Linked DNA regions of Oreochromis niloticus. The protein of the gene in region 1 interacts with the protein of each later gene in a biochemical or structural test. Links are inferred from orthologs where the notes say so. Each region holds a gene or a part of one and is shown on either strand. Other genes may lie near its edges. The genes, in order: ccnb1 and zc3hc1.

Region 1 (9,876 bases):
TCACAAAATACTAAAATGCTTTTATACTAATAAAAAAAAAAAAGGATGAAGAAAGAAAACAGACTGTATAATAAAAATGCAAATTCTCTTCCTCAAAGCTGAGAACAGCTTCCTGCCCGCCAAGTTTAGTCTAGTCTGCAGCAGCCTTGTGATGACAAACATTTTTAAAGGAAGTTGTGAAGATACTGCTTCAGGGGAAATCAGCTGTCTACAGTTACAATTTGTACACAGTAGAAGCAAAAAGGGAAGAATTGACATCGCTAAGTTCATATTCTGGTGAGTTACACTAGTCTTTCTCCTCTTCCCCAAAACTGTGGATAGTAACAGACCACTGCAATGTGCAGCTTCACGTGTGCGTGACTGCAGAGCTCCACTTCCAGCCAGGCTCACATGGACATGAGCATGAGGGCTTTCCACTGTCACAGGAGTGCAATGTGACAGACACACACACACCACACACACGAGTTACCTCAATACACCAAGGCTGTGAACACATCTATTTATAGACAACCTCAGGAGTCCTGCAGCCAGAGCCAGAGCTGGAATCGTGCCTAAAAATCTGTATCCGCGTCAGAGCCAAGGTTTCTCCTTAAACATAAGCAGCCCACACACACTTTGCTGGAACATGCAGGTGGAGGAATTTAAACACAGGGGTAACCATAAAAATTCATCACAACACCTGTGAGTACGTTTATCACCCAGACAAAAGGCGAGTCACTCCTCAGCCCTACTTCTGCCTTAATCCCGGAGCTAAACATGCATTTATATATCCCCCAAGGGCTCAGTCAGGTGAGCAAATATCCTTCATCTTCAACTACTTCAAAGCACACAAACAGGGCCACACCGCCGTTTTACTTCTACAAATCCACTGAGTCATGCTAGCAAGCTAATGCACGCTGCTGGCGTTTTAAACCCCTTTTTAAAACCAAAAATTAAACAAATAATTATTCATCGTGGTGCTTGGTAACACTGTGGGTATTTTTCAAGGTGAAGCTGCGGTTAAAAGGGTTACTTAGAAATACTAAAAACAGACTCCTTGCTAAGTACGACTCTCCCGATCTCCCCGTTAGCATGCTAAAGGCTGCCTGCAGCTAGCAAGCTTAGCACGACTAGTTTGCTTTGTTCGCTTTTGTTGTTTGTTTTGAAGCACCAAAAATGTTATAAACAGAAGTCTCTACGACTCTTAAATAAGAGAAACAAAGGGACAAAATACACGCTAAAAATAACTGTTAAAATATCGATGCTAATTAGACACAAACTAGGAAAATTCAGAGCTGCGGATAGCTTTAAGTTGGAAAAAGGAGATTTTTAGAAAGGAGACGGATCGGTTTTTAAATAGCTGTAAGGTTAATGTCAGGTTTAGCAGCTATACAGCCTCTTAAACCTATTTAACGTGTAGTCTTGCCGTTGGAAAACTTTTTAAGGACACGTGTTAAGCAGCCAGACAGTCACTCTTTAATCCTCACTAATTAAGTAAGCCAATTTTACACCAACGTCGACGTTACTCGTTTTGGAAAATGTGCTTTTTAAATGGTTTGTAGCTACAATTAGTCCTAGGCTGAGACACTTCCCGAAACAACTAAGTTACTAACCAGCAGACTGCGGTTTAACTACTCGGTGTTGGCTTACCTTTTTGTGCCACAGAAACGCTGTTTTTTCGGCTAACAAAAACACCTGAATTTCTCTTGTAGCTGACTAACTAGGGCCGTCTAGGTTTAATCGTCGCTTGTGCCCTTTTCTTTTCGGTCCTCTCTCCGCCTGGGAGTGATGTTAGTTGCTCCCGCTGACGTCTTCAGTCTAGGAGAGGTAGTGGCATCTGTTTAGTTTTACGTGTTACGTTTGCGTCCTCCCTGCCTTCCGGTACACGTCATGGAAATTGTGATCTTCTGATTGGAGGGCAGGGTTGTTGGCGAAGAGCCACTAAAGATTTCAGGACAGAGCAGTCCTGGTTTCTACAAACATACCCTTACCCCACATAAGCAAACATCTATGTAGGAAAACAGATTTCAAAACATCAACACAGCACTAAAAGTAATGAGAGCAGACAAAAACAAAACAGTACAAAACATGACACATCCAAACTTCCACAGGTGCTGCTGTAGTGATTTCTTTTTAAAAGTGGTAAACACTGGTCTTGACCAGCATTAAAAGGACCACTTTGGACTCTTCCTAATATACATACAGACAGACAGAACCGGTACACTGATGACACCCTCACACACTGAGGAACATGTAGCAGTTTTTGTCAGAAGTTTAAATACACAAATTATGAACATGAATGTCAAGGTAATTGTGTGCTTTTAATGACTTATTTGAACTTTTTATAATTTTACAGTGTAACTCTTTTTGTTTAAAAACAAAAACTGGGTTCACAAGTCTGAATTTATTTTAGATTTAAATTCACACAAATGGTAAATGGTAAATGGCCTGTATTTGTATAGTGCCTTACTAGTCCCTAAGGACCCCAAAGCGCTTTACACATCCAGTCATCCACCCATTCACACAAACATTCACACACACAAGATCAAATATACTTACTAAATATTTTAATAAGTGACTCTAAAGGTTCTACAGTGTACGTCTTGTACATTCTTGTAAAACCTGTGAATGTCTTGTTAGTGATCAAAAACACTGGGCAGAGTTGACTCAATTACAGCATTCATGAGTCAAGTTTAGTGCATTTATTTACAGCAGAAACACCAGGTTGATACATAAAGGTAGTGATGGGAGGAAAACAGGGGCTCCAGGGATCCAGGGAAATGAGCATCCAAACAATCCAACTCTCCTCACTCACTTAGCTCTGGGAGTCTCTCCAAGTGCTCATTGGGTTGTTCGCTGATGGAGAGGCAGCGACATAGAAGTAGGGCAGGGCAATATGGCCAAAAATATTTATCACGATATATATTTGAAAATTTGCGATAACGATATAACTGACGATATAATTGACGCAAGACAAATTACTTTACAACTCCACAACTTTATTAGTGCAAAAAAAACCCCATCAATGTATTTTCACTTAAACAAGCAGCTGTTTTTTATGTGCATTGAAGCTATATAAAATGTAACAGTGCAAATGCAAATTCCTTGCTGACAGTTTAACCAAAGGGCATTTCCAGGGGAAACTGGCCAACATATCCTGAGCAATACCATGTTTAATAACCACAAAACTTAAAAAGAGGTTATACACACACAATGCGGTAATATTATGTTGAAGCACAGTACATATTACTCTGCGAGGATCCCGACTACGGTAGCCGTAATGCTCCGACAATCCATCAAGCAGTGCGGCTTCATAGTTTACGAAAGTCGTACTAAAACATTTTTTGACAGATTTTTGACCGCCGTGTACCACCTAAAATCGGTTCGGTAATATCGGTAATAACGGTAATAACGACGGCCCGCTTGCATGCTCTACCAAAACATGTGCTTATGAAAACAGAGGCACTGCGCATGCGCGTTTACCCATATTCAAACGGGATATTTCCTTTTCTTATCATTGCCTAACATTATACAGGTATTACCGTGAACGGTATAATATGGCCCAGCCATACATAGAAGTGTCAGGACTGGCGGTGTGGTGTCAAGAAATAATAATTCTCTAGATGTAGATAAGACCAAAGAAATGATTACATCACTGAGGCAGAGATATAGAGAGTAAAACCCTTTAAATTCCTCTCTTACTTGGTCTCAAAACACTGAGCACCTTCTGAAAAATTCTTAGACGACTGTTGGAAATTTGGCATGTCAACCAGAAACTTTTATACATGTAGAGCTAAGAGCATCATCGCTGCCTCAGTTACAGTGTGGTGTGGAGGCTGCACTGTTCAGGACAGGAAGGCTCTCCAGCGTGTGAGAAAAACTACACAGTACGTCACTGGAGCAGCCTTCCCATCACTGCCACTCTTTCTTGAGTAAAGTGCAAAGTACATATAAGGTTACTGGACTTTTGGTGAGGTCTCATTGTGATTCCAGCTGCTCAAGAGCCCTGGGTCTTTATTGTACTTTTTCATAATGGGTCTAATGTTTTCAACTGGCACCTTGCCTCAAATGACCTCAGTAGCTCACAGGACAGCATACTGGGACAATGTTTTACAGAGTTTCACACCTTGGCACCAGTGATGGTAATGGTCCAGGCCTTTTTTCACAGTAGGAAAACTCACATGACTGATATCGTGGCAACAACCACAAGGACGACCTCCAAGAGAACAAAAACCATCCTGGATCAAACCACTGGGACTCTACGTCACTTGTTTTAGAACTGAAGAAACCTCTTGGATGACCAATAAGAAGCCCAGTCGCCTTCTTTTCAAGCACTTGAGACTGCCATGATATGGATGACTTGTACCCTTCTTTCATGATAGGGCTTGAACCTGAATTTGTGGATGACACAGTGAACTGTGTTTACAGACATTGATTTCTGGAAGTGTTCATGAACTCATGCAATGATTCCCATGACAGAATCATGCCTGTTTTTAATGTGGTGCTGCTTGAGGGCCCAAAGATCACATCTATTCAGTATTGATTCACAGCCTTGTCCAGTGCCACAGACATGAGTCTGTAGAGTCTCTGAGCTTTTTCATAATATTATAGTATGCACTGTAGATGATGACCTTCACAATTTCACAACGAGTAACTTTAATCTGAAAGTGCTCCACAATTTGTAAATGCAGTTTGCTGCACATTAGTGAACCTGTGCCCATCTTTACTTCTTTGAAATTCTACTTCTCTAAAATGCTCTTTTCGTACCCTGTCATGTTACTAACCTGTTGACAACTAACTTTTTTTTTATTAACATAAAATCTTACACTAGCTGTTTTTCCAGCCTTTTGGTGTCTCAGCTTTTGTTGTCCCAACTTTTTTTTTGAAAAGTGTTCCTCCCATCAAATTCAAAAGAACCTTATTTTTTGGTAAAATGGTACGTTTATGTTTCCTGTGTTCTGGTGTAAATATAATATGGATATATATGATGTGCATCTTATTGCATTCTGTTGTTATTTATATTTTACACATTTATTTATTTTGATATTTTGTAATTTGGGTTGTAGAATGCATCTACTTATTGCCAAGGAGATAAGAGTCAACTTTACATTTATGTATCCAAGTGAAAAAGCAGAGTGTATCTACTTTTTGCTAAGTGGATATGTTTTACTTGGTGAACAAAGGCATTTAAAGATACACGGAGATCTAAAGCGATAAATACTGTAGCTTATTTAATGGATGACAAAAGTAAACTGTTATATTGTGAGTTGTGTGAGAAATTCCATCTGAAATGTAGACTTTTAGAAGCTATAACAGAAAAATAAAAGCAAAACCAGCCTCTATCGTTCAAGAAGGCATTTTTACTCTTAGATGTCTCATGTACTAAGGCAACTTTGTATGGTAGAAATTGACTTTTATTACACTAAATGAAATAAAAGAGCTATCAAAAATATCATGTTAAAGAAGGTCTATCATACTCAAAATGAAAGAAATTGTGTTCTGAACGAATTTGAGGCAATAGAATTTAAAGTATAACGATAAAATACACTTTTAGATTTGATTTCCTCTCCCTCCTAAAGTGACTTCTTATTAATTTATTTACTTGAAATGCAGAGAAAAAAAGAAAAAGAGAAAAAGCAGGACGTAACAGGAAAAGGAAATGAACATCAAGAAATCAAATCACGTGACCATAAGTTGTCCGGGGAACGCATTTCAAACAGGTGCGTTCGACCAATCAGACGCCAAGGAGAGTCTTAGGTCAGCGAATCAGCTATCAGCGAGCGAGGATTTAAACCTCGCTCGCTGTTCCTTGTATCTATACCATACCGTTCTCCATTACGACTCTTCGCCTGTTTGTTGAAGCATCGCTTGTTTCGAAATGGCTCTGAGAGTGACCCGGGTTAGACTTTTTCATCTCTATTTGTTGCTTTTATTTAATCGTTGCATCTGGGGAAACATTTAGAAGCGCTTTCTTTAAGTCTTTTGCTTAAAAAAAACCAAAACAAAAACGTAGCTTTCGTTTGTCGCTTTGGGATTTCTTATCATGGAGCAGGTCGATAATAAGGGTTTCCGCTTAACTAAAAGATAAAAGCGTGCAAACTACTATAATCATTGTGGATTTTCTTTTTTCTCTTTTTCCTGCAGAATCGCTTGGCTTCCACCAAGGTCGACCTCGGTGGGAAGGCCTGTTCTGTGTCTGGGCCCACGCAGAAGCCACGAGCAGCCCTGGGGGAAATTGGTAACATCGCAGTTAACAAAGACACACAGAAAAAGGTAAGTATTTGATCCTGAAATTAAATGTTTTTCTGTTAAATCTATGGAAAATGGTGGGATTTTGCAGTGAAATCATATGGGCACAGTGACTTCCAGCTCTGATGTCCAAATGGTTAAAATGGCCCGAGTGGGGCCACACTTGAAACAACGGGCACAAAATGCTGAATTGAGTCAAATCGGTGGCTAAGGTGGACAAAATAAAACTGGTTTACAAGTTTCTTCAGAAACAACTTCCTGTTAGGGTATGAAAGTGTTCTTTTAAACTTGTTTTTCCCCTGGCACACTGGGCCTTGACTACACATGGAACCAGTTATTAGTCAGCATTTAGCCTCTTGCTCTAAAAGAAGCCTACACATTTTCCTGCTTAGATTCTCTAATTTAAAAATATACTTAATCTCAAACAGAACAGGAAAACCCCTGAGAGTACAATGTGCTCAGATGATTGACTTAAACTGACTTAACGTGGTGCATAACTAAGTGCTGTTTAGACTAAAATTCAGAGGGCCTAAGTGATTGTCTTAAAACTTTATTTTAACCTTAGGGAGCACTTCAGATGGCTGCAGGACTGCTGCTTAAATGGGGGCATTGATAACAAGAGAACTCACACTTGCATGTCGCCCTCTTTTGGGCTACATTAAAATAGCAGCATAACATGCCTGCAGGAGTTTGTTAGCATGCTTCCTGCTGTGAGTCTTCCAATTAAGAGCGTGCTGGGAAAAACACTCAGTGGGTTTTGGTTGTAATTTGTCTGGCAAAACTCAAAGCTCTAGACGGAAGAGGAACCACAGCTTAAAATGAAATTGCATAATTGCTAGATTGTTTAAATGAGGCCCAATCATGCTGGGAACCGATCTCTATTTGAAAGTACCACTGAATTGGTTCTATATTAAGATTATTTAGCCTTTTCAGACTACTGACATTTCTGGCTTTAACGTGCTTTCCCTTAGACTGTAAAGACTGAAGCCCTCAAGAAGACCAAAGTTACAACCAGAGCTGAAAAGGCTGAACAGATCAAGCCAAAAGATGTCATTTCTGTTAAACCTGAGCCAGAGGTGCAGGCCCCACCCGAGCCGGCATCTCCCACACCAATGGAGACCTCTGGCTGCGAGCCTGCAGACCTATGCCAAGCGTTTTCAGATGTCATTCTGCACACTGCTATCAGGGACGTCGACGCAGATGACTATGACAACCCCATGCTCTGCAGTGAATATGTGAAGGACATCTACAAATATCTCCGCCAGCTTGAGGCAAGCAACTTAAAATAAAGGAATTTAAAGTGGGAATCTTGGGCTACTTTCCCCAAAGAGCACTAACCATTTTTTGTCTACTCAGGTTGAACAGAATGTCAGACCAAACTATCTGCAGGGTCAGGAAGTGACAGGCAACATGAGGGCCATTCTCATTGACTGGCTCGTGCAAGTAAATCTGAAGTTTCGTCTGCTGCAGGAGACTATGTACATGACCGTGGGCATCATTGACCGCTTTCTTCAGGTGAGTGAATCCTGGTTCTTCTACTTATAAATGCTGTTAGTCCTCCACTACACCGTTCCACCTTTCATGGTTTTCATCTCACTAATGGTGACTATACCTCCCAACAGGACCATCCAGTCCCCAAGAAACAGCTGCAGCTTGTTGGAGTGACTGCCATGTTCCTTGCTTCAAAGTATGAGGAGATGTATCCCCCAGAGATCTCAGACTTCGCCTACGTCACAGACAGGGCCTACACCACAGCCCAAATCAGAGATATGGAGATGACCATTCTGCGGGTGCTGAAGTTCCAACTGGGTCGTCCTCTCCCCCTGCAGTTCCTCAGAAGGGCCTCCAAAATTTATGAGGTTTGCAGCATATCTGGTGTCACAGGAAGTGCTGATGGGTTACAGTTTAAGTGTTCGTGCATCAACTTCTCGTGCATCTCTTCACAGGTAACTGCCGAGCAGCACACTCTGGCCAAGTATCTCCTGGAGCTCACAATGGTTGACTACGAGATGGTCCATTTACCACCTTCAATGGTGGCAAGTGCCGCTTTGGCACTCACCCTCAAAATATTGGATGCTGGAGAATGGGTAAGTGCATCTGAAGGGTCTCGAAGGTTTTGGTGTCTGGGGGAGAAAAAAAGTGTACTTGGTGCCCTTGCTAAAACGACAACTAGGTCTGAAGTATTCAAGTCGTTCTCTTTTAAGAACAGACCTATGAAACAATGTCAAGAGTGTAATCCATAATTGAGTGCAACAAATAGTTGGCATAAAGCTGAAGTGGCATTGTTAACTTATTGCACTTCCTGGCAAATTAAATGATATGGGTGCAACAAAGCTTGTCTGGCCTTTGCTTATCCCTGACTTTAGACTTCTGAGCTGAATCTATGCAGAACCTACACAAGTGTCTGACATGATTGCAAGAATAAACTTGTGCAGGTTATGGTTGCAAAATTGCAACAATGGGTTTTATGGAACGGTCATGAGAAACTTTCATATTTGTAAAAAGGACTCCTTGGATAAGTTTAAATATCAAAAGGCTTTGCTTTATGTAAAGGAGTTGTTTGTACATCTAGATCAGTAAATTAACTTGTATATTATGTGACTCATGCACATCTTGATTAGCAAATCCTAAACAGATGCATTTAAATTGTCTTTCCAGGATGTGACGCTGCAGCACTACATGGACTACACAGCAGAGAGTTTGATTCCTGTTATGGCACACATCGCCAAGAACGTCGTCAAAGTGAATAATGGGCTGACCAAGCACATGGTAAGCTTCTCATCCAATCAGGATAAGTCTTCAAATTTAAACTAATGTTGAACTTGACAAGACCTAACCTCACTGTCTCTGCAGGCCATCAAAGGAAAATACTCCACCTCAAAGCAGATGAGGATTGCCAACATCTCGCAGCTCAAATCGTCAGTGGTTAAGGACCTGGCAAAGCAGGTCACACAGTGAGATGACAGATGTCCTTGGCACCATGTGCTGATTTGTACAGATGTAATTTAACTTTTTAACCTGACCAAGGATCCGCACACCAAGGATGTCACTAGTTTACTATTTTTTTCTTTTTAAAGACTGAGGGTGTGTATTTTTACAGCCTGCCCAAAGCATGCCACAAGTTAAGTTTGACCTGAGCAACAAAATGGGAGTTCTGTCTTATAAGATTGACAGCTGGGCTATGTTCAGACTAGTGCAAGGCAACAGTTTTTTGTTTTTGGTTTTTTCCCCACTTATTCACAAGTACTCATGCACTAATCGTACTAGGCCTGAAGACCTCTATGACCTTACACAACTTTAAGTCTAATGCACATCTCTAAACTGCTGCTCAGGTGTTTAATCTAAAACTTGTGGTATGACTTAAATGGTCAGCAATGTGAAATGTCACTTTTTAAAAATTTCTTCAGTGGATGTGTTGGTGTGTAAAATGTACAGCAATACTTTTTAAATCAGTTTTTGCGTTCTTACTATTTTGTTCTTAAAGGATTTATTAAATGGCTTTGACCAGAAAGCTGCTTGCCTTGTTCCTTGTGATCTCCACTAGAGGCTGCTGTGAGACAAGCATTTTAAAGCTGAAGTGCATTAAGGCAACTGAAGTTGTCACAGTGCCCACGTTGAGAAATGTTGACTTTGCCCCGCTGTGCTTCA
Region 2 (10,625 bases), on another chromosome or scaffold:
TAGCCCTCTGTCCGGATCTGCTGCCAGCAGCCTGTTGCAAAATGATACCTCCATAGCTCCCTGAAAAGTGGATAGTCTTCATTCTCTGAGCCTCCTGACTCATCGTAGTCGGGGTTGTACCCACCAAACACATACAGGTTAGTGTTGTCAGCGACGCAGCGGTGCCCACTGCGGGCAGGTGGTGTTCGATGCCCTGGAAATAGAAAAAAAACCAAACAAATCCTAAAAATGAGGACGAGGAGGACCATCCTGACAAAGATTGTCTCTTCTCCACTTTGCTCAAACCATTATCATTTCCTTCTACGTGCAAAAAGCTACTACTTGAGCTAAATGCTGCTCTTAATTTTATGCATGATTTGAACTTTGACACTGCTTAACCAGATAAAACAAACATTCTTTTTAAAAACTGACAGAAAAAAATAAAATGTGACATTGTAAAGCTATATAAAAAACATTATCCAAAAGTAATAAAAGTACTTGTAATAATAGTGATATGCCGTGGTCATATCACATATCACAATTAAATCAATTAAAGCGTTAGAGTGTCACCTGCATATGCATCTAAAAAGTCAAACGCTTTTTAGAACTTGAGACTAGTTATAGATCCAACCTGACTAATGCTCTACCGGTTATACACATAACATGTCAACTTTCATATTGATAACTATGAGAAATTCTGCATTACAAGAGTCGTTGTAGGACATTTACTGGAAATTGGGAAGAAACATAAAGGCATTAGACCAAGAACGCTATATAAGCTCAAGATTATGATCTATGTTAACTGATAAGAATGTGCTTAAGGTTCAGTACAATCAGCATTCATTACTAATTTCCTTTACTGTATTGCAGTCTTTAGGATTATCATAAATAATTTTTACTTCAGGTCAGCTGGGATACATGATTGATGGAGGGAATTTTAATGCAGTCGCAGAAATCCTTAACCGAGAGGAGGAAAGGAGTTACACAGAAGAGAAAAAAAACCCCCTATTTTCTTACATTTAATTTCTTATGTGCTATTGGATAGATATACTAAGTGAGGCAAATTACTGTGAAGCCGCAGTTACAGGGTAATTTACTAACAATGTGCTGTAATTTATATACAAAGATGCAGCCAGTTCACCTCAGTAAAAAAAAATAAAAAATTTGTAGAAAGAATGCAAATTAGTGGCCCCAAAAATCCAGAGGAAGGAGCGTTAGGCAGAGCGCTGCATACCTGCTAACTAAAATAATCCAGTTTAAGCTCAGGTTTCATGGAAGTGTTTTTCTCTGAAAACAGCAAGGCAATCATGATAAATGAGACGAAGCTGAATGAAAATGAATATGCTGATCTGATAGAAGAGTTATTTCTCAGCACTGTGCAAAGGGTTCTAATGATTAGGACTCAGGTGCAGCGCAAGATTGATCGAGAGGAGAACTGCATTATTAAAAACTGTCCCACCCTATAAACCTGAAATCTGTGTGGAACAGCTGACCTGTACGGTGTGCAGAAGACCACAAAACATTATTTACAGTCAGATGATGAGCCATCTCAGTTGCTATGTTACTATCCCATGTGTGTGAATGTGCACTTCGCCTTTTAGTTTTAATAGCACATTGCAACATTTAAGCATTAATTTAACTCACCAAACCTTTTATTGGTTACAGATTCAACAATTGGGGTTTGCCTCTAAACACGCACACAATTTTTTTTTCCCAAACACAACTCCCCCCCCCCCCAGCATTAAAGTTTGTGCAATTTGCAGTAAATTGTGTTACGAAGACTTTGTAATTTACACTGGTGTGACTCATTTAAATATTCTCCTCCTGAAAGTGAAAATACAAATACATTTGGCATAATACCAGCCTCAAAAAAAACCCTCCTGTTCACATACTGACACTTAGTCTCTTTTGTAAATCCAGCAGCTTTTTAATGTCAAAAGAAGGCTTTGTGCTGCTGTAGACGTTAGTACACCTGGCCCTAGATTTTTCTTCTTTTTAAGCCTACAATGAATTTTTCACAGACTGTTCTCTTTTAAAAGACCTCCATAAACCAACAGGGTCAGAACATGTTGTGGCGAAGGAGGATGTGCGTTTTGTAGTCCATCTTCTACCCATTGTAGTTTCATCAATACTCAGGCACACTATGGCACCTATTTGCTTCTACTGTCTTGTAAAACTTCATATGAGCAATAAAACTACAACATGAGTATTTTATACAACTGTCTATAATGAATTATCAGTCATCAAGATCATATTTCTCTGTAGATCTATGTCAGCATCTGTTAGAGTGACCAGTTTTGGTCTTTGTACTGCAGAATTTCCCTTTCCTGACCAGCTTGTATCTGTAAAACACAAAAGTATACAGGATCTCAACGTAGGATCTACCACAGGCATAAGAGGAAATAACTAGCAACCAAAGAGCAGTCTATTCTTTGAAAATTGTATACACACAGTAGATCATCTCAGACATGTTTGGGTTTTATTTTTTTGTTTTTTGGCCAGCAGAGGTTATACTGAAGATATCCTGTCTATACGTTTCTGGAAAATAGAGATGTAACAAATCTCTCCATGACTGGGAACATACCTAATGAGAGCTTGAAACTTGTTAGTGGACATGGCTCTGTGATCCGCTTAAACCATCAAGTATTTTATCAAACCGCAGCATAAACCACAGATACACACAAAGCTTAAACCTTCAAATTGTTATAAATAAAACCTTAAATCCATGAAATCCAATCCAGCCACTATTAGACCATTTACTGTAGCACACTACAGCCGATAAAGCTCTATGCAAAAGTATTATGTGCTATTTTCTCCTGTTAGCTTGGATAGGATCGCACCCAACACATCAAAAGATAATCAAACAGAATTGCGGGATGTTGCTAGCCTGAATGTAATGCTTTAAAATAGCACGAGTAAAGGCAAAGTTTAAAATTCCTGACTCAAAGTAAAAAGCAGCTGATGTAAATGACACAGACTCAGTCTGACTGTACAGACATGATAACGTCCAGGTAAAGCGTAACGTCGTTAGCATATCTTGCTAATGTTTTTGACCGACCTGCTAACGTCACACCGTGCGGCGGCCTGCCTGTCAATTTCTGGAATTTATTCAGCTGGTCTGGACTGTGAGCACATTCGGCGTCCGACATCGTCTCCCCCTTTACAATCCAATCGCGGAGAATGTTACGTCAAATAAAAACAACATCTGATAAGAGCCGTAGAATCATTTTACGTTTCAGTCAGTTTGGAAGACATCCACAAACGTTACCTCCCCCCACTGTGTATTGGACTTGGCCAATCACTGGACTCGTTATTAGGACGTTGCGTCATTAGAGGTGGGCGGGGCGGCGGTTGCCGGTACGTATCCACAACACAACAGTTTTACTTGGAGTGTGGATGGCCAAAAAGGCGTTCCCAGGCTATATATATATGCATGCATGCATGCCCCGGGGCCACTGTATATTAAATAATAAAAATAATGAAAAAAATATTATTGTTATTGCTTGCACTGTGCAGACCTAGTCAAGGTTATCAATTAGAATAGAATAGAAGAATAGAAGAATCCTTTAATTGTCCCACAAGGGGAAATTTGGTTGTAACAGCAGCCAGAAAGACACATATACAAACAAACAGTACACAGGACACAGAACAGAAACATACACATTTTTTCTTACATATTTACATTAAGGACAATGGTTACTATAAACAGAGTACTGTACAGTTATTAAATTAAATATAAATAACTACAGATAAGAGGCAAACCCAGGTTGTAGTGCGAATCGGTTGATTAACTTATTGCAGTTACAGCGCAGATGTAAACATCTGTGATTGTTGGGAGCAGTTCTGATTGTACAGTCTGACAGCTGCAGGGAGGAAGGACCTGCGGAAACGCTCCTTCATGCATCTAGGATGCAGCAGTCTGTCACTGAAGGAGCTCTGCAGTTCAGCAACATTTACATGCATGGGGTAGGAGACTCTGTCCATCAGAGATGTTATTTTGGCCAGAGTCCTTCTGTCTCCCACCATCTGCACTGGGTCCAGGGTGCATCCCAGAACAGAGCTGGCCTTCCTGATGAGTTTATCCAAACTCTTCCTCTCAGCTGCCGATAAACTGCTGCTCCAACATACCACACTGTAAAAAATGACAGATGCCACCACAGAGTCATAGAAGGTCTTTAAAAGCGCTCCCTGTACTCCAAATGACCTCAGCCGCCTCAGCAGGTAGAGTCTGCTCTGACCCTTCCTGTAAAGAGCATCAGTGTTGTGGCTCCAGTCCAGTTTATTATTCAGGTGAACACCCAGGTACCTATAAGAGTCCACTATCTCAATGTCCACTCCCTGGATGTTCACCGGTGTCAGTGTGGTGGGTCTGCTTCTCCGGAAATTCACCACCAACTCCTTGGTTTTCCCGGCATTGATCAGCAGGTGGTTCTGCTGACACCAGTCTACAAAGTCCAGAGTCCACTGTCTGTACTCTGAGTCGTCCTCACCTGTGATGAGGCCAACTATGGCAGAGTCGTCAGAGAACTTCTGCAGGTGGCAGCGTGGGGAGTTGATGGAGAAGTATGCAGTGTAGAGGGTGAAGAGGAACGGTGCCAGCACAGTTCCCTGTGGGGCCCCCGTACTGCAGACCAGTGTATCAGAGACACGGCCCTGTGACCTCACATACTGTGGACGTTCTGTGAGGTAGTCCAGTATCCACTTTTCTACCTTCTTTTAACAACTGAGAGTGGAGACAGATTATCATTTAGAACATGAAGTGGCATTCTCATGTTTGGGGGGAGAAACAAACAAACCATTAAAAAAACTGTCACCATGGGTAGCTATTCATCATCTAGGGATCACATCACCTGTGGTGCACCACAAGGTTCAGTTTTAGGTCTTACTTTGTTTTCTATTCATGTGCTTTCAGTTGGAGAGAATACAGTTAGTGAATCAGGAAGTGCAGAGGATGAGTAGTAAGAAGTGGGGGCAGCTATTAAAGACATACCTGGAGATGTTTAAGACAGAGGGCTTTTGATCAGATTGTTTAATACAGTTTTGGAGAACATGCCTAAGGAATGGAGAATAAGTTGAGTGGTAATGATTTTCAAGAACAAAGGTGATGTGCAGAGCTGTAGTAAAAACAGAGTTTAGAAAGTTGATGACACACACCATGAAGACAGAGTGGGAGATGTGGAAACTAGATTAGGAGGAGAGTTGAAAATCAGTGAGCAGGTGATGTAGGCGATGGCATGTATGTAAAATTTCATTTAATACTTTCAGTTAATAATTTCAATCACTAATGTCTGCAGTATTTTCTTCCCTAATGTTAAAAATATGGTCAGATAAGCAAGATGGGACAAAAATGTTTCTGCTTTTATCCAAAATTCCTTGATGAAAATATAATGGGACAATGCTGGGCCCTCAGAACGCATCATTCTTACTCAAATGCCTGCAGATCGTAAAGTACATCTGTGCTGGCTTGAACAGAGATACATTTTCCTACAATCTGGTGATGCAATATTCTAAGAATTGAGCTAACAACAGTATATAGTGGGATGTGTTGCAAAAAAAACAAAAAACAAAAAACAAAACTCCACCAAATAAGAATTTCTTCAAAGAGACTTTGTTTTTGTCTATATAGCATACCTTATAGTTGAAAATATTCATGTTTCCATTACATTTGTGTGAGACCTATTACTTATTTGAAATTCCTTTATATAGCTCTTTGTTCTACAACAAACTACACCGCATCAGATGGAGTCTTAAGAAGCCTCCACTTCAAACTACAGCAGAAGATATTAATGGATTACTAATCTTATAGTGTAATATTGCCCAAAACAATAAATTCAGAAGGGGTAATTTTGTAAGCATATTTATTGCAGTTTATTGCATCTGGATAACAATATTTAACAAACGATCCATAATCAAATACATGGAAACAAATTTAAAAAGTCAAATAAAATGTTGGACCTACATTTAAAAACACACAAAAAAGTAGATTTTAAATCACATTTTTTAATTAAATACTAAATAAATAATTCCTTTCATTTTAACACTAATAACAGTCAATCTATGAGCTTAGCCTTACGGAATTACGCTTTCGAAATTTAAGCTATGTTCACGGTGAAGAAGTGATGTTGTTGCAGCGCTGTGGTCTCGCAGCATCACGAAGCGGAACTGTCGGTTTCAGGGTGTATTTTCCGTGGGACCACAGAGCCGATCATGGCGACTCTCGGCGGTAGTCGTGGGGATCGTCTCGGCAATTCTAATCAACACAAGTCTGCTATTGTTTCCCCGGAAAAAGTTCGTGAAATTCTCAATGAGGGGGTGTCGTCAACAGGCGTGGGTTCCAACAGGTGCGATTTTTTTAATCAGAGAGCGCTCATTGTTCAATTTAAAAAGACGGAGAACAAGTTGACGCTAGCTAGTTTGCCTAGCTACTTAGCTTGGTAGCTGTACTTTTAGCTTCATTCAGTCAGCATAATGAGAAGACGAACGAGATTCCGCAGGTTTGGATGCGTGTAAGCTAGGAACAGCAGTATGAACTGGCACGCCTTTGTGTTTTCTTTGCTCTCATTGTTGTATTCATCGGGCAAGTTTGTTATGGTAGCATCTGAATTGTCGCCACTGTACAGTTAGAGATAAGAGGGGGTGGGGACCTAAAGTTTGGTAGTAACTCCCTACTTTGCAAGTTTGCTGTTTTGCTTCCATCATTAGGTTAAACGAATCGATTCTTTTCAGTATTGTGAGATTATAAAATGAAAATAGGAAACATATAAGGTGAAGTACGCATAGCTTTAACCAGTTATATTTGTTTTATCAATCACGTAAATAAAAGTGTGCATACTGAAGATGTGTTTTCCCCTTTTTGATGATTTAAGTGTACAAGGGGATTTGAATGTCCTGGAAGTGGAAAGCAGCTCTCAAGCACCTTGCGAAGCAACGAACAAAGAAGCCTTTTTCTCAAGAGTGGAATCCTATTCAATATCCTTTTTTTCCCCCTCATTTTGAATCCGTATGAGCCATCTTAGTTCTTGTTTTTATATTGTTATTATTACATGTCCTTGCTGTATGTAAGTTGAAATTTCCCTTAGCACCACACTGTTTGAAATGGGCAGGCAAACCACGCATACTTTCCCCGTTGATGTGTGCCAGATATGGCTGGATCAGTGTTGGCTGTGATATGCTCAAGTGCTCCAGCTGCCAGGCTTTCCTATGTGCATCCTTGCAGCCAACTTTAGACTTTGAAAAATGTAAGTGAAACTTAAAGCAACTGCACAATAACAACACTAGAGGACAAACTGTTTTTGTTTTTTTTGGCAAGGTTAGGTTGATATTGTCAGGCTGCCAAAAAATTTTTTTAAATTGAAGCACATCTCCTCTTTTAAACAGATGAAAGCCGCATTGCAGAGATATCAAGGCAGCTTCAGACACAGCATGAAAAGTTTTGTCCTTGGCCTGACTTTCCATGTCCAGGTGGGAGCAAGCATTTTGCATGAAACGTATATATCAGCAAAAGTAATTTGACTTGAATAAACTTTAATTTTCATTTTTCTCCATGTAATGATCATGGTAAATGTTCCTTTTATTTCAGAGCGCTTCTGGCTTGTTCCAGCCTGTGAACCATCGACACTTCTTGCTGCCTTTTTGGAGCGCTTCCAGAGCGCCTGTCTCCTTACACAGCAGCTGCCAGCAATGAAACCGGAGCAGCTGAAGTCTATGGTGAAGCTGCAGAATGGCTTCAGCCTTTTTAGGATACTGACTCCAGTGCTGTTTGAAGCATTATACATATTATTTACATTAGAGAATACACTTAAAAGAATGCATTATTGAGATTATAGAAAGAGTTGTCTGAGTCACTCGTTCACCTATACTTATTGGCCACTCTTTCCTTGCAGTCTTTGACAGAGGACGTTATCAGCAGTATGCTGCAGGTGATTGAGGAAGAACAAAAAAGAAAGGGAGAAACTCCTTGCTCTGAGCCTTTGGCTATCCAGATGGCAGCATGTATTGTTTCTCTCTGCGGTTGGGCAGCAAGGTGAGATGTAACTCGAAACTCCTTTCATAGAAATCAGTGTTGTCATATGCTGACATTAAAAGTTGGGTGAAAATTTAGAAACATGGGACAAAAAAAGTGTTTTTCCTCCTTTTTAGTCCTGCTCTGCACGCCATGAGCCTGCCGATCCTCACCTGCTCCTACTGTATGCGCAAGGTGGGCTTGTGGAATTTCCATCAGATGGAAGGAATGGGAGGTGAAGCGGACAATTCAACAAATACACTGGGCACCCCTGTTCGGGCAACGAGTCCTGCTTCAGCAACCCCAAATGATGGTCAGGGAGAGCATTCGACTTCCACCTCACCGAGCCCTGCTACAACTCCTTGTCGCATGAAGCTGCGGAGCCAGGACTCCACCCGCTCTGACCAGGTGAGGAGGAGGACCAGGCGGATTTCCCGAGTTGTGCCACTAGCTGGAAAAACACTAAACCACGCTGTGCACAAGCTATGATGCAAGCTTATTAATCCTTTCAATTAGAACAAGTGAATGTAAACTTCAGAATATACTAAGCTGCTTCTATGCTGTCTTGGTGTATGTTACAGGGAGAGGGTACCTCCTCCCCAGTGGCCTTGCGTGCCCGGAGCAGAGACTCACCTAGCCCCAGCGAAGAACTGCCAAGCCCTTTGACGAGGGGCAAGAGGCCCGCAACTCGCAGTAGAGGACAGGGAGATGGCCCAGGGACTGACGGCACTACTAGCCTGCCTCCAAAGCGCCTGTGCCTCTCATCAACTGGTGGTCTTGTAAGAACTAACATTACTAAGGATTTTTTTGTTTTGTTTTTTTAATTATGGCATCAGACTTTATCTGAGGGAATCCGTACAGTCCTGCCTGGTTATTCAGCCAGTGTTTCAAGAGTAATTTGAGTATTTTGTTTGGTTTACATTACAGTTAGAAATTTTGTTAAATTAAAAACATGAAAGACAAACATTCCCTTTTTTTTTAAGGCAGAGGTGTATAATACAAATGTTGACCTACTATCTCTTATTTCAGGATGGGCCCTTGCCCAAGAATGTATTTGACCCCTTAGCTCAGCACAGGGAATGGTGTCCCTGGATCTCCGTAGGAAAGGAGAATGTGGATCCTGGGGCTATCCCTTTTTCAGACAAAGGTTCAGGACTTTATCAGCAGGGCTGGAAAGCTGCTCTGGACCTCCTCATGCCCATGAAGAAGAACTCCAGTATAGACGAAGGCAGTCCAGCACAGGCAAGACAAAAAGTTCAAATCTTTGTATTTCATAGAAAAGAGTCATCAAACATGTAAATGATAGATTTATACAGATTTACAGATTTTTGCTTTGTTTGTTTGTTTTTTATTCCAGGGCCCCCGTGACAAATCTAAAAGGGTGTTTGCTATATTCCGACAGTGGCAGGTTTCCTCTTCGCCATCTCAGTAGACTCTTTGCAAACAAAAACAGCATTGCAACACTGAAGTGATGAACTGACCTCCACTCTTGTTTGTGGTACAGAATCCATATTACTAATGACAGGAGTATCAAGTGTTATTAAATGTAAGCCATCAATTGAGGTCTTGTTTCTGTTCAGTGTTTGTCAAGGACAAATAAGGTTCATTGTGTCATTAGACAAATGAATGTGTTCTCAGTAAACAGTAAAAAATGTGAATGAATGCTGTGGCTTTTTAAAAAACATTTCAGTTCGGCTACACAAGATTTACATGACCACAATGTCTGCTTTGGTAGTCCTTGATGACAACATGATGGTCTGGATTTTTGTGGAATATAGAAGATCATGAGAAAGGGCCACATGGCTCTACACTGGAAAGATGATGTTTACCTTTACCGTATTTTGAGTTCTTTGCAAGAGCAGTAAACATTAACCTCAGATTAGGGAAAAAAAAAAAAAAGACTGTGAGGAAGTACCTATGTGTGTATTGTTTTGCTTAAACACCAGATGGATACAATAGCTCCTCGAAGAGAGCAGAATCTTTTTGGAGTAGTGATGTTTTGTTTTTTCTCATCCGTGCTACCCGGTTTGAAATTCTTGATTTTCTGTGATATTTCGTTACCGATGCAGTTCTCACTCTCTTGCATGTACCTTTGTCTTTGTAGACGCTCCTAAAAGGGTTTAATAAATTGCTCTTCTGAATGTTTGTTTTACTTTGCATGTCGTTCTTCTGAGATTTTTAAGATAAGGCCAGTCAAAAAATTAATGAAATTATATTGTAAATCCAAGAAAAATGCATACAGTACAAATGTGTCGGATGGCTCTGCTTCACAAAGATTTTTTTGGAATGTTTTTTTTACGTTTATTTTAATTTTTATTTGCTGAAGTGTGTTTATGTGCATGCATGTATTTATGTATAGATAGATAGATAGATAGGTATTGTGGCCTTATAGAAGTGGTATTTTTAGCCATGACCATTTTCTTTATTCTTTCCCTAGATTAAGTCTTGTTTGTATTCTATAAATAAGATATTAGGTATATTTCAGCTTCGCATAACAATGGGGGAACTTGGTCAGTTAACGGAAATGAATCACAAGACTGATGCCCCCCTCTCCCCAAAAACAATCACTGTTCTTGAAATGGACTGTCAGCTCTTGCCAGACATTTTGGGGTGGAAGTCCTGAGAGCCAACATGTGGGGGTGAC

Evidence for each region.
Region 2: of the proteins of ccnb1 (region 1) and zc3hc1, one has a biochemical effect on the other in vitro, tested with the Homo sapiens proteins (3 studies listed by BioGRID, with this or other methods). The link is inferred for Oreochromis niloticus from reciprocal best matches to the Homo sapiens genes CCNB1 and ZC3HC1.

Annotation. Positions count from the first base shown.
Region 1 is NC_031972.2:31,327,860-31,337,735, reverse strand, and holds ccnb1 (G2/mitotic-specific cyclin-B1), read left to right. Parts: upstream 1-5,719; 5' UTR 5,720-5,857; coding exon 5,858-5,878; intron 5,879-6,123; coding exon 6,124-6,252; intron 6,253-7,199; coding exon 7,200-7,499; intron 7,500-7,584; coding exon 7,585-7,743; intron 7,744-7,850; coding exon 7,851-8,087; intron 8,088-8,174; coding exon 8,175-8,315; intron 8,316-8,886; coding exon 8,887-8,997; intron 8,998-9,081; coding exon 9,082-9,186; 3' UTR 9,187-9,739; downstream 9,740-9,876. UniProt on the Homo sapiens protein: Essential for the control of the cell cycle at the G2/M (mitosis) transition.
Region 2 is NC_031981.2:10,958,128-10,968,752, forward strand, and holds zc3hc1 (zinc finger C3HC-type protein 1), read left to right. Parts: upstream 1-6,126; 5' UTR 6,127-6,186; coding exon 6,187-6,320; intron 6,321-6,358; exon of another isoform or gene 6,359-6,447; coding exon of another isoform or gene 6,448-6,485; intron 6,486-6,845; coding exon 6,846-6,948; intron 6,949-7,066; coding exon 7,067-7,217; intron 7,218-7,356; coding exon 7,357-7,440; intron 7,441-7,558; coding exon 7,559-7,686; intron 7,687-7,862; coding exon 7,863-8,002; intron 8,003-8,118; coding exon 8,119-8,389; intron 8,390-8,562; coding exon 8,563-8,760; intron 8,761-9,010; coding exon 9,011-9,223; intron 9,224-9,338; coding exon 9,339-9,413; 3' UTR 9,414-10,126; downstream 10,127-10,625. Other genes in the region: klhdc10 (kelch domain-containing protein 10), read right to left, coding at 1-193, 3,038-3,128. UniProt on the Homo sapiens protein: Required for proper positioning of a substantial amount of TPR at the nuclear basket (NB) through interaction with TPR.